2 linked regions of the Arabidopsis thaliana genome follow. The protein of the gene in region 1 interacts with the protein of each later gene in a pairwise test. Each region holds a gene or a part of one and is shown on either strand. Other genes may lie near its edges.

Region 1 (6,454 bases):
TGTACAATTTATTATTCCTTTTATCATATTAAATCATGTATTAGGGAAACAATTTCATGATAAAATTTATAAATATTGAAGAATGTAGTATATTATAGAATTCCCAAAAATTTATCCAACCACACAAATTTTTTTTTATGTCCATTCTGCCCGTTTTTATTTATTTATTAATATTAAATATTTTCTACCGTTTTTAAGTTTGAGAGAGAAAATAAAGAGTAAACAATGAAAGTAGAAAAACAAGAAAAACTACGACTAAAAGAACTACGAATACGAGATAACACGATAAGAAAACAAAACGAAGCAACTAACAAAGGTCTCAAGAGGAAACACCGGTTCCGAACTGTAAAGCTCTGTCATTTTTTTGTCTAGGTTTTATTTTATTTTCCCCGATTCCGCAGTTACCATTCAAAAGCCTCGATGGAATGGAAGGATTAAAGAAAAACAAAATAGGAAGTAGAAGCTTTAGGTGAAAGTTAGGTAATAAAGAATCTTGCTTGTTGTATGCTTCTTGTCTTCTTAACTTATTTGGCAATTCTGATGCATACATTCTACTTGAACACACATAAACTAACAAAAATAACCATAACACTAATTTTTAAAGATTCTACAACCACTAAAGATCTTAGCTTCCATTCAACTCCAAGCTTCGTCTTTTTTTTCTTCTTCCTAGATCTCTTACGCAACTAATGTCCATGCATTCCCCCTATATATACACGAGCTAGCAGAAGTTTAACTTGAATATATCAAAACCGAGTTCAATTCACTAAACCAATGAAAATGCAAGCAGTTCTTGTTATCTTGGTTTTCTCCGGTTTACTTTCGGTTAAGACAGCGTTAGCAGCACGACATGTGATCGGCGGGAGCCAAGGCTGGGAACAATCCGTTGATTTTGATTCTTGGTCTTCTGATCAATCTTTCAAAGTCGGCGACCAAATCGGTACGTTTCTCTCTACCCTCAATTTCATAATCAAATCGACCGGTTTAATACTAACCAATCTTTTTTGTTTCTTGTTAGTTTTTAAGTATTCAGAACTACACAGCGTTGTGGAGCTAGGAAGTGAAACAGCATACAAGAGTTGTGACCTGGGAACATCAGTTAATTCCTTAAGCTCTGGAAACGACGTCGTTAAGCTTTCTAAAACCGGTACTCGTTACTTCGCTTGTGGAACCGTTGGGCATTGCGAACAAGGCATGAAGATTAAAGTCAACGTTGTCTCTTCTGACTCCAAATCCGCTTCCTCTCCTTCAGGTTCAGGTTCGGGTTCGGATTCAGGGTCGGGTTCTGGATCTAGTTCAGGTCATGGGTTACGTGCTTCCACTGGATACATGTTCGTTGTTGGATCGTTGGTTATTGGTCTTATTTGGGCTTACTAATAATTGTTTAGGGCTTTTTTGTAATGTATCGAATATATTTGGTGGGGAGAGAATAAATATTTTTGGAATTATTAATTCGTACTTGTTGTTGTATTTTATATAGTTCGGATATTTGCATTTCTGATCTAATTTTCTATATATATCTTGTTTTTCATGTTTTCTCAACCGCTACTCCACTTGATTGGTTGAGTTGGAATATTCTTTTTTTATACTTTCTCATATGACCAATCATTTTTTTTAATTGTCATCAACATTATTAATTTGAATTAGTTTGTTATTTTCTTTATCTATATAAAAAACATTATTAATTTGTTTCATTCCATTGTACACAATTTTAGCGTCGTATATAAAAAATAACATTTCAGCTTCAGCACATCAAATAAACATTTTTATTTATTAAATAAAACATTTCTAATCTAAATAAGACTTGGATAGTTTCTGTTAATACTTTTTTTTTGTCATCGTAAATTTTATTAAAAACAAAATTGTCCATAGAAATTAAGCAGACAATAAATGTTGAAATTTTGGATTTAGATTTAGCGGTTTTGATTGATATAAATCTACTTTTAATATTTTTTTTTGTCATGATCTTATTTTTATTTTGAAACAGAAAATATTATTTTAATTTAAGGAGTATTTAATTCGTTCGAGTTTCTTCTCCCAAAAAAAACATTTTAAAAAAGACGGAGGGAGCGAGAGAGAGAGAGGACAAGTGGGTTGCTGAATTGTGCAGAAATCGTCGTCACTGATCACTTCCGATTCCTTTTTTTTCTCCTTAAATCGCAATTTTCACTCTCCTTTACCTTCGCCGAGAAACTCAATGCCAGAAGATTCAACGGCGATTGACTATGTCATGGAGAAGGCATCGGGGCCTCACTTCTCCGGTCTTCGCCTTGACGGTCTTCTTTCTTCTCCGTCGAAATCCTCCGTCTCTTCTCCTTCTCACTTCCGTTTGAGTAATTCTTCTTTTTCGGCTACCGACGATCCCGCCGCTCCTCATCAGCCCTTCGTTATCGGTTATTTTTCGATTCTCGCTCTTTGATTCTTGCTTTAGTCAACAATCGAACTTTCTCTTATTCCGATCATCGTGTATCATCTCTCAGTTTCTTGAAATTGGTGCTTCTACTGCATTTTATAGGGTTTTATCTTAGGGTTTTAGCTGTACGAATTTTCCGGTAGCATTTGTGCTTCCAAGATTAGAGAAATCTGGATCAAAATCAGTTTCTAGGGTTTAATCCTTTGATTTACTTGAACATGTTTTCCTTTGACTTGTGTAGGAGTTACTGGTGGTACAGCTTCTGGTAAGACGACGGTATGTGACATGATAATCCAGCAACTTCATGATCATCGCATTGTTTTAGTTAACCAGGTTAGATTCTGTACCCGTCCCTGTTCTCAGTATTTTTGTGTGTGGTACTCTGATGCTGTTTTGTTGATTAGGATTCGTTTTACCGTGGTTTGACATCTGAAGAACTTGAGCATGTACAAGAATACAATTTTGATCATCCTGGTGAGTTGTTCTTTTGATTTGTGAACATTGATGTTTTGGTGAAATTTTTTAACGTCTCTTGTTTTTCATTTTCTGCAGATGCCTTTGACACTGAGCAGCTTTTGCATTGCGTTGACATACTCAAGAGTGGGCAACCCTATCAAATTCCAATTTATGACTTCAAGACCCATCAACGTAAAGTAGATGCTTTTCGCCAGGTGCATGGATCTTCTTTTGTTTGACCTCCTTATATGGTTCTTTTCTGCGGTTTTATGGGTTTAGCTTGTAATGTCATGTGGCTGAATCTTCGGATTATCGTTTCTTAAAACCAATCAGTTGTCGCTTTGGTCAGGTCAATGCTTGTGATGTCATCATTTTGGAAGGGATTCTAGTTTTTCATGACTCACGAGTTCGGGACCTAATGAATATGAAGATCTTCGTTGACACAGGTTAACTAGCTGCAGTATCTTGTCTCTCCTTCTTTTTGGTTCTCCTTTATAATATGACCTTATTTGTTCTGCACAACTATAAATGATATAGTGACAATTTTATAGTTTGATGGAAACTGTCCACTTTCTGTTCTGGCTGATGCCTGATGGGGCCTTTGATGGATTAACTCACTAGTCCCACTTTCGCCATTTCATCACTTGTTGACCATTAAGGACTGAATGAATTCCCTTTGGAGCTATATACTTAGCAAACTTTGAATCTTTCTGAAATGTCAATAATCCTCTTTGAAGTTAAAAAGTTCTCATCTTAGCCATTTATTGGTTCCAGATGCTGATGTGAGGCTTGCTCGCAGAATCAGGCGTGACACGGTTGAGAGGGGTAGGGATGTTGACTCTGTGCTTGAACAGGTTAGTCTTTGTTTCAGGTTTTGGGGTAAAATTTGTCACCAAGGTTCACCTATCTTAGTTAGTGCTCTAATGTGTGAATACAAGACAAAGAATTATAGCAGCCTATGGGTTTTTGTGAAATACTGAACAATTCAATGTCTCTCTTGTTGTTCGAGTGACTCTAGCTTAATTCCGCCCTTTGAACTATTCTTCTTTATAACAGTGTTTCTTTCTGAGATTCCTTTATTTTCCACCTTATCTTGTTTTGAGAGTGTTATGTTCATCTGCAGTATGCAAAGTTTGTGAAGCCTGCGTTTGATGATTTTGTGCTCCCCTCAAAGAAATATGCTGATGTGATCATTCCACGAGGAGGTGACAATCACGTTGCAGTTGATTTGATTGTGCAACATATCCACACAAAACTTGGGCAACATGATCTCTGCAAAATCTACCCAAATGTTTTTGTTATTGAAACAACATTTCAGGTAATTTCTGCCTTTTCCTGCTGTTTGATGCTTGATTCAGATGGTAAGGCTTAAAACCATATTCTCACTTTAAGATCATAACTGCAGATAAGAGGCATGCACACTCTCATTCGAGAGAAGGACATATCAAAACATGACTTCGTGTTTTACTCAGATCGCCTCATTCGTTTGGTACTCTTTTTACTCGTGTCATCCCTTTAAATGTTACTCAGCTTCCACGCCTTGTCATTTCAATTGTTGATGCCTTTATTTCAGGTTGTGGAGCATGGTCTTGGCCATTTGCCTTTCACTGAGAAACAAGTAGTTACTCCGACAGGTAGAAGAGGAGATAGATGGCTTGAGCTGTGACTATACTTTATTAAAATAAAATAGTGGTAGTCATTGTGTCTGAAAATCTAGACCAACTTGTTCTTGAGATCCATTAACGTATCATGCTTTGGCATTTGCTGATATATTGCATGCATCCACACGATCATAATTTCTTATCTTCTACAAATCAGGATCTGTGTATAGCGGTGTTGATTTCTGCAAGAAACTCTGTGGGGTCTCAGTCATTCGAAGGTGAGCGTTAAAAGGTATTACGTGTTTTATAGTTCTTAATAGATAGAGACTGGAGCTGTTCAGTTTTCCATTTTGTTTATAATAGATAGTAACATTGGAAGAATACATTGATTGTTTGCGCATGTGGAAGCATACATTGATTGTTTGCTCATGTGTTGAGTGAGTTCCTTTTTTAATTCTTTTCTCTTGCCTAAAGTTTTCTGTTTTGTACGCTTTGTTAGTGGTGAAAGCATGGAAAACGCATTGCGCGCATGTTGCAAAGGGATTAAGATAGGGAAGATTCTCATCCATCGTGACGGAGACAATGGAATGCAGGTCTGTTAATGTTTTGTACTCTTAACAGTTTACAAGGTTCACGTCTCCTTTCTAAAACTCAGAAACTTCCTCGCATATGAATCAGCTTATATACGAGAAGCTTCCAAGTGATATCTCCGAGCGTCATGTCCTGCTATTAGATCCTGTTTTAGGCACAGGTAATTTCAGTTATTTCTATTTCTTTTTCTTCTGCTTTGAAGTATATTTTTTTCTGAATCTTTCCACTTTGGATGATATCTTGAAGGTAACTCTGCAAATCAGGCGATAGAACTACTCATACAGAAAGGAGTACCTGAAGCCCACATTATATTCCTCAATCTTATCTCAGTGAGTGTTAAATCAACCAATGTTCTCTCTCTATCTCTCAGTCAAAAACTTACAATCGATTCTGCATCGTGCAGGCGCCAGAAGGAATCCATTGCGTCTGCAAACGGTTCCCAAAGTTGAAGATTGTGACGTCAGAAATCGATCAGTGTCTGAACGAAGAGTTCAGGGTTATACCAGGCTTGGGTGAGTTTGGTGATCGCTACTTTGGTACCGACGAGTAGAAGAAGTACCAAAGTGTTTGTCAATGGTTATTGTGCTTGTGTGTGAATGGAAGTGTTTTACTTTGTCTAAAGAATCTTCACGGGCTTTGTTTTTTTTTAGTTCCCTCTGCTTGGAAGCTTCTCGCTTACTAATTACTAGAATTGAAAACTCATTTCAAGATTCTTGGCTTAAGCAGTTCATATCCGACGACTTTTTCGTCAACAACACTTTTAAGCATCCCTTATTCATGACAACTTTTAAGAACTTTGATAGATTTCATAAATTTTTAATTTTACACTTATTAAAGTCTTTTGTTTAGTAACAATTATACCATGGGCTAACAATCGGTCCATGAATCTTATTATATAAAGTACGGTTTTGAAAGTTAGTAACTCACGAGATCATGATACGTGTCAGTGAATATATAATTAAAATTAACTATATAATTAAATAAATTTATATTTGAGCTTTATAAAAGTAAATATATATATATATATATATATATATATATATATTATGGGAACCATTGAAAAGCAAACTTTTAATTTTACTTGAATTATATGTTTTTAAATAAAAGTATTATTAAAAAGAAAAATAACAAAATGTTGTTTAATTTTACGAGACGTGGTTATATAGTGGAACGGGCATGTGTCGATATTAATACGAGGCCGTATACCACAGGTGAAATTCTAGATTTTAACAATCAAAATACAATAATACAATTTTTAATACAAAACAAAACAAATACAACTTAAAATTTATTTATTTATATTTATAACAGAATTGATCAGTGGTATACCGTTTCTGACCTCTAAATGCAAAAAAGAAAAACAGTTTATTTTTCTAATAAATCAAAACTGAAT
Region 2 (5,031 bases), on another chromosome or scaffold:
CAAATTTTTCCTATCATGAAATTTCTAAGTAAAAAAAGACAAGTCACATTACTTTAGGTAAAAAGTTGGCAAAACAAAAAGTGAAAGAAGGAAAGTCAAAACTCTTTATTTTATTGTCAAAAGTCAAATGTGTGCAAATGTAATATTGTTGACATTAAACAAAACAAATTAATGTAAAGATTATTCATAATGGAGTAGCAAAACAAATCTAATTAAACCCAAAATATATAATATATGATATATCTCTAGAAAACTTTTATTTATATCTAGCACCAAATTTTGACTATTTGGATTTTTTGGTCGGGTACTTTAGCCACCGGATATTAAATGCATCATACAAACTTTCAAATTAGGTGGAAACAAAATATATGTACGTATATATATATATATATATATTAATAAATCACTTTCAAAACTTTTAAAAGAAAATAAAAAAAAAGAATTTTAGATAAAAAGTAAAAGAGAAAAAGGGGAATATAAAAATGGAAAACAAATAAAGTTAGGAGAGAGGGCTCACTGTCCGAAGCAAAGAAAGAAATAGCAAAGTGAGTTAGACATGTGAGAGAGAAGAGATTCAAGTGTGTCCCCATTCTCTTTCCTATCCTTTAGTCAACAACACATCTCTCTCATATTTGGATATTTCTAATCAAGATCAAACTTTTTACAACAAGATTTGATTTTTTTTGTTCTTTTAAAATCTTAATTTGAATTAAGATGATATGAAGTCATTTCATACTAGTCTTGCCTCTTGTCAAAGTGTAACTGAATGAAATTTCAAGATTATATATTTATAAGAAAACCTAAAATTTTTAGATATATTTTGAAATAATCTTATAATTATCTATACTAATTAAAAATAAATTATAAATATATTATAGAGCAGTTGACCAAAAAAAATTACAGATAACTATTGAAGATATATAGACATGATTAGTTGAGGTGTAGAAAGTTTGTAAAGCCACTAAAATAGCTCCAAAATTGAAATAATCATGTTGTAGTTTTTTCTTTTTTCTAGCAAGAATAATATATTTTTGATTATTTTAAAAGGTTTGTACATTTTTCTCTTTTTATTTTCACTTTATTTTTTTAGTTTCTTTAGAAACATTATTATACTTTTCATATATATATATTGAATTTATCTTCAAATTTTGCATACATATTTTACCCACTAAACATGATTCCATATAAAAACGGAAAAAGTGTGTCACAGAAGAAATAATATATTACATGATATAATAATCTAAAATGTCAACTGTTTTCTTTAGAATATGTTAGAAAAGATTTTTTTTTTAAATCTTTATTGGTAGCAATGTTTATGAGAATAAAGCACATAATTGTCTCTCAATGACTAATAAATTTCGGTTTCAGTCAAAGATCTAACGAGATATTAGATTTGTAATAATCATCAAAGAAAGTCTATCCTTTTTATTAAAAACAAATATTCTTAAACAAACTAATACTTTAAATAAACTATTCTTAAACAAACTAATACATTAAATATTCTTAAACAAACTAATACATTAAATATTCTTAAACAAATATTCTTAAACAAACTATGCTTAAATCTTTCATAATAATCTTTCTCTCAATTGAATTTATCTTTCACAAAATTAAATAACAAATCAATTAAAGAGATATATAAATACGAAAAACAATGGTCGTCACTCTCGTTCAGCTTCTTTAGTTTTCTTCTAACTTTCAGAGAAAGACCTCTCTCAATTCAAAAGTTCACAATATTAAAAGTATAAATCAGAATCATTAAACTGTTAGTCTCTCTCTCTCTCTCTCTCTCTCTCTCTCTCTCTCTCTCTCTCTCTCTCTCTCTCTCTCTCTCTCTCTCTTTTTCTCTTCTTCTCCCTGAATTGTCTCATCTGTCTTCTTCCTTTGTCTCTCCTCTGATATACATTGTGTTCTCCTTCTCAGAAACCCTAGATTTCTCTCAATCAAATCTAGCTTTTCTCTTAGGGGGAGATTTGATTTTTTTCTCTGCAAGACTGTAACAGTAGGAGAAGCTACTTTCCTCTGTTTTCTTAATTTCAAATCTGCAATCGTACTTTTTCGAGTTCTATAAGTGAACTCAGATTTTAGCTTTTTTTTTTTAGGGTTCATAAGAACAAATTGGATTTTGAGCTCACAGTATAAATAACCCGACTTTGATTACTGGGTAATTTTAAAACCGCCATTGTTGTTCTCTTTACTACTTTTGGGAATTAGGGTTTATGATTTCTGGGTATTAGATTAGATAAATTTGTTTCCTTTTTTTGTTAATCAATTTAAAAATCTCTTATTTCTGTTAAAGACTTGTAATTTTGGAGTTTTTAATGCATGGACGGAAGAGAAGCAATGGCATTTCCAGGCTCGCATTCTCAGTACTATCTTCAAAGAGGAGCCTTTACTAATCTCGCACCTTCCCAAGTCGCGAGTGGGCTTCACGCGCCGCCGCCACATACGGGATTGAGGCCAATGTCTAACCCTAACATTCATCACCCTCAGGCTAACAATCCAGGACCTCCTTTCTCGGATTTTGGACACACCATTCACATGGGAGTGGTCTCCTCTGCTTCTGATGCTGATGTGCAACCGCCACCGCCACCGCCACCACCAGAGGAACCGATGGTTAAGAGGAAACGTGGACGGCCAAGAAAGTATGGAGAACCGATGGTTAGTAATAAGTCTAGGGACTCTTCTCCAATGTCTGATCCTAATGAACCTAAACGGGCCAGAGGTCGACCTCCTGGAACTGGAAGGAAGCAACGCTTGGCTAATCTTGGTGAGATCTCGAGTTTTCTATTCTGTGTACTTTGTCAAGTTAAGTTTTTGCTTTAGCTCTGTTAGCTAGTCTTGAAGGACATGAGCTTGAATCTTATGGATGCTAGAAGCTTTGAATGATTCTATAGTTAAGTTAGGTTTTGTTACTTTGTCGTTACTGATACTCAATATTGATTGTTGGCTATTAGTTTGACGGATCTATGTGTGGTACAATGCTAGGTGAGAGGAGTAATTGGTTATTAGTAGATGTGGACGAAATCGACTTCTTGATTTAAGTTATTGATTTAGGTTTTTAAGCTGTGAAAGAGTAATCTTACTAATCCATTCATGTTTAAGTAATTGGTCATCATAATGTGATTAATCAAACTTTAAGTAATAGCAAACTCTTGACTCTGATAATTTCTTTAGGTGAGTGGATGAATACTTCAGCTGGACTTGCTTTTGCACCTCATGTGATCAGCATTGGAGCAGGAGAAGTAAACTGACCAAAACTCCTTTATATATTAATGATCATTTATGCAGCTTTTCATTGTATCAATTTCCTTTTATTTTTCTTTGCAGGACATTGCTGCGAAAGTTTTGTCATTTTCACAACAAAGACCTCGGGCTCTTTGTATAATGTCAGGCACTGGAACCATTTCTTCAGTCACTCTGTGCAAACCCGGTTCAACCGATCGTCACTTAACATACGAGGTTTCAAAGTCGTTCATTCAGTTAATCGAAAAAGAAAAACCTGAAAAGATTTCTTATTTAATCCTCTTTCTGTGTTTCTTAGGGACCTTTTGAGATTATAAGTTTTGGTGGATCTTATTTGGTGAATGAAGAAGGTGGATCCAGAAGTCGAACAGGCGGATTGAGTGTCTCTCTTTCTCGTCCCGATGGTAGTATTATTGCCGGTGGAGTTGACATGCTTATCGCAGCCAACCTTGTTCAGGTATATTAAATTCTTCTTCTTAATGGTTGTAAAGTGAAGCTAAAACGAGGCGAAACTAACTACGAATGTTAGCCTTTGATATGTTTGTGCTGTCACTTTCTTTCCTCTTCAAGATATCATGTGGTAGTGTTTGAAAAACTTGTTTGTTATTCAGGTGGTGGCATGTAGTTTTGTATACGGAGCAAGGGCAAAGACTCATAATAACAATAACAAGACCATCAGACAAGAAAAGGAACCAAATGAAGAGGACAACAATAGTGAAATGGAGACCACACCGGGTAGTGCAGCTGAACCAGCAGCATCTGCGGGTCAGCAGACGCCACAGAACTTCTCTTCTCAGGGAATAAGGGGGTGGCCCGGTTCAGGCTCAGGCTCTGGCAGATCACTTGACATTTGCAGAAACCCACTCACTGATTTTGATTTGACTCGTGGATGATATACACTATTAGTCTTTGAAGCAGCAGCATACAAAATGTGATTGCTGTACATATGTTATTGTAGATTTCTCTCTGGGAATGTTGAAATCAGACATTTAAGGATTGATACTAGATCTCTCAGCTCCTTCTAACATTGTTAATGTAACAGAACCCTCCCACTTTCATGCTATTTTAGGAGATTTTTTTAACTCTTTTATGATCTCATTGTGGTCATCAAGAACTTGGTTTCTTTACTAGTTCACTATTTTTCTTTCAGGTTCTTTAACATATTTAGTAAACTTGATTCCTCTTATTTGGTAGACAATGTGTAATTCAACACACACAAGATTTAGGATCCTTAATTTATAGGAAGATGACAAGCTCATAATTTATACATGAAAAGCATTAAATATTAATGAATATATATCCTCAAATTGACTTAAATTTCTTTTTCAGTCAGAAATCTAATGAGACATTAGATTTTGTTATAAACCATTGAAGAAAGTCTATATCCTTTTTAATAAAAAAAATTCTTAAACAACCCAATTTATTTTTTTTGTAAACCAATTGAATATTTTTTTTTGACAAAATTAATTAAAGAAATAGTATATAAATAGAAACAATGGTCTTCACTTCCTTTCTCTTCTTTTTTTTTCTTTCCTTTTTTTTTTCTGAGATTTGCTTTCTCTACCAGAGAGACTGTAACAGTAGTAGTAGCTACTTTTGCTTGTTGTCTTCATTTCAAATCTGCAATTTTACTTTCTTTTTGAGTTCTAAGTGAACTCAACATTTAGCTTCTTTTTCTTTTCTAGGTTTCATAAAAACAGTTTGGATCTTAAGCTCACAGCTGAAAATAACCCGACTTTGATTACTGGGTATATAAAAGCCGCCATTGTTGTTCTTTTCACTCTT

What was found.
Region 2: the proteins of UKL2 (region 1) and AT1G63480 interact in a two-hybrid assay, tested with the Arabidopsis thaliana proteins (one large-scale study listed by BioGRID).

What each region holds. Positions count from the first base shown.
Region 1 is NC_003074.8:10,038,661-10,045,114, reverse strand, and holds UKL2 (uridine kinase-like 2), read left to right. Parts: upstream 1-2,048; 5' UTR 2,049-2,197; coding exon 2,198-2,393; intron 2,394-2,654; coding exon 2,655-2,746; intron 2,747-2,817; coding exon 2,818-2,887; intron 2,888-2,965; coding exon 2,966-3,084; intron 3,085-3,218; coding exon 3,219-3,315; intron 3,316-3,643; coding exon 3,644-3,723; intron 3,724-3,992; coding exon 3,993-4,187; intron 4,188-4,274; coding exon 4,275-4,358; intron 4,359-4,442; coding exon 4,443-4,503; intron 4,504-4,687; coding exon 4,688-4,748; intron 4,749-4,969; coding exon 4,970-5,063; intron 5,064-5,148; coding exon 5,149-5,221; intron 5,222-5,307; coding exon 5,308-5,390; intron 5,391-5,464; coding exon 5,465-5,611; 3' UTR 5,612-5,917; downstream 5,918-6,454. Other genes in the region: AT3G27200 (Cupredoxin superfamily protein), read left to right, coding at 775-940, 1,019-1,377. UniProt on the Arabidopsis thaliana protein: Involved in the pyrimidine salvage pathway. Phosphorylates uridine to uridine monophosphate (UMP). Phosphorylates cytidine to cytidine monophosphate (CMP).
Region 2 is NC_003070.9:23,538,980-23,544,010, reverse strand, and holds AT1G63480 (AT hook motif DNA-binding family protein), read left to right. Parts: upstream 1-1,777; 5' UTR 1,778-2,325; coding exon 2,326-2,770; intron 2,771-3,177; coding exon 3,178-3,245; intron 3,246-3,330; coding exon 3,331-3,462; intron 3,463-3,544; coding exon 3,545-3,703; intron 3,704-3,857; coding exon 3,858-4,139; 3' UTR 4,140-4,454; downstream 4,455-5,031. UniProt on the Arabidopsis thaliana protein: Transcription factor that specifically binds AT-rich DNA sequences related to the nuclear matrix attachment regions (MARs).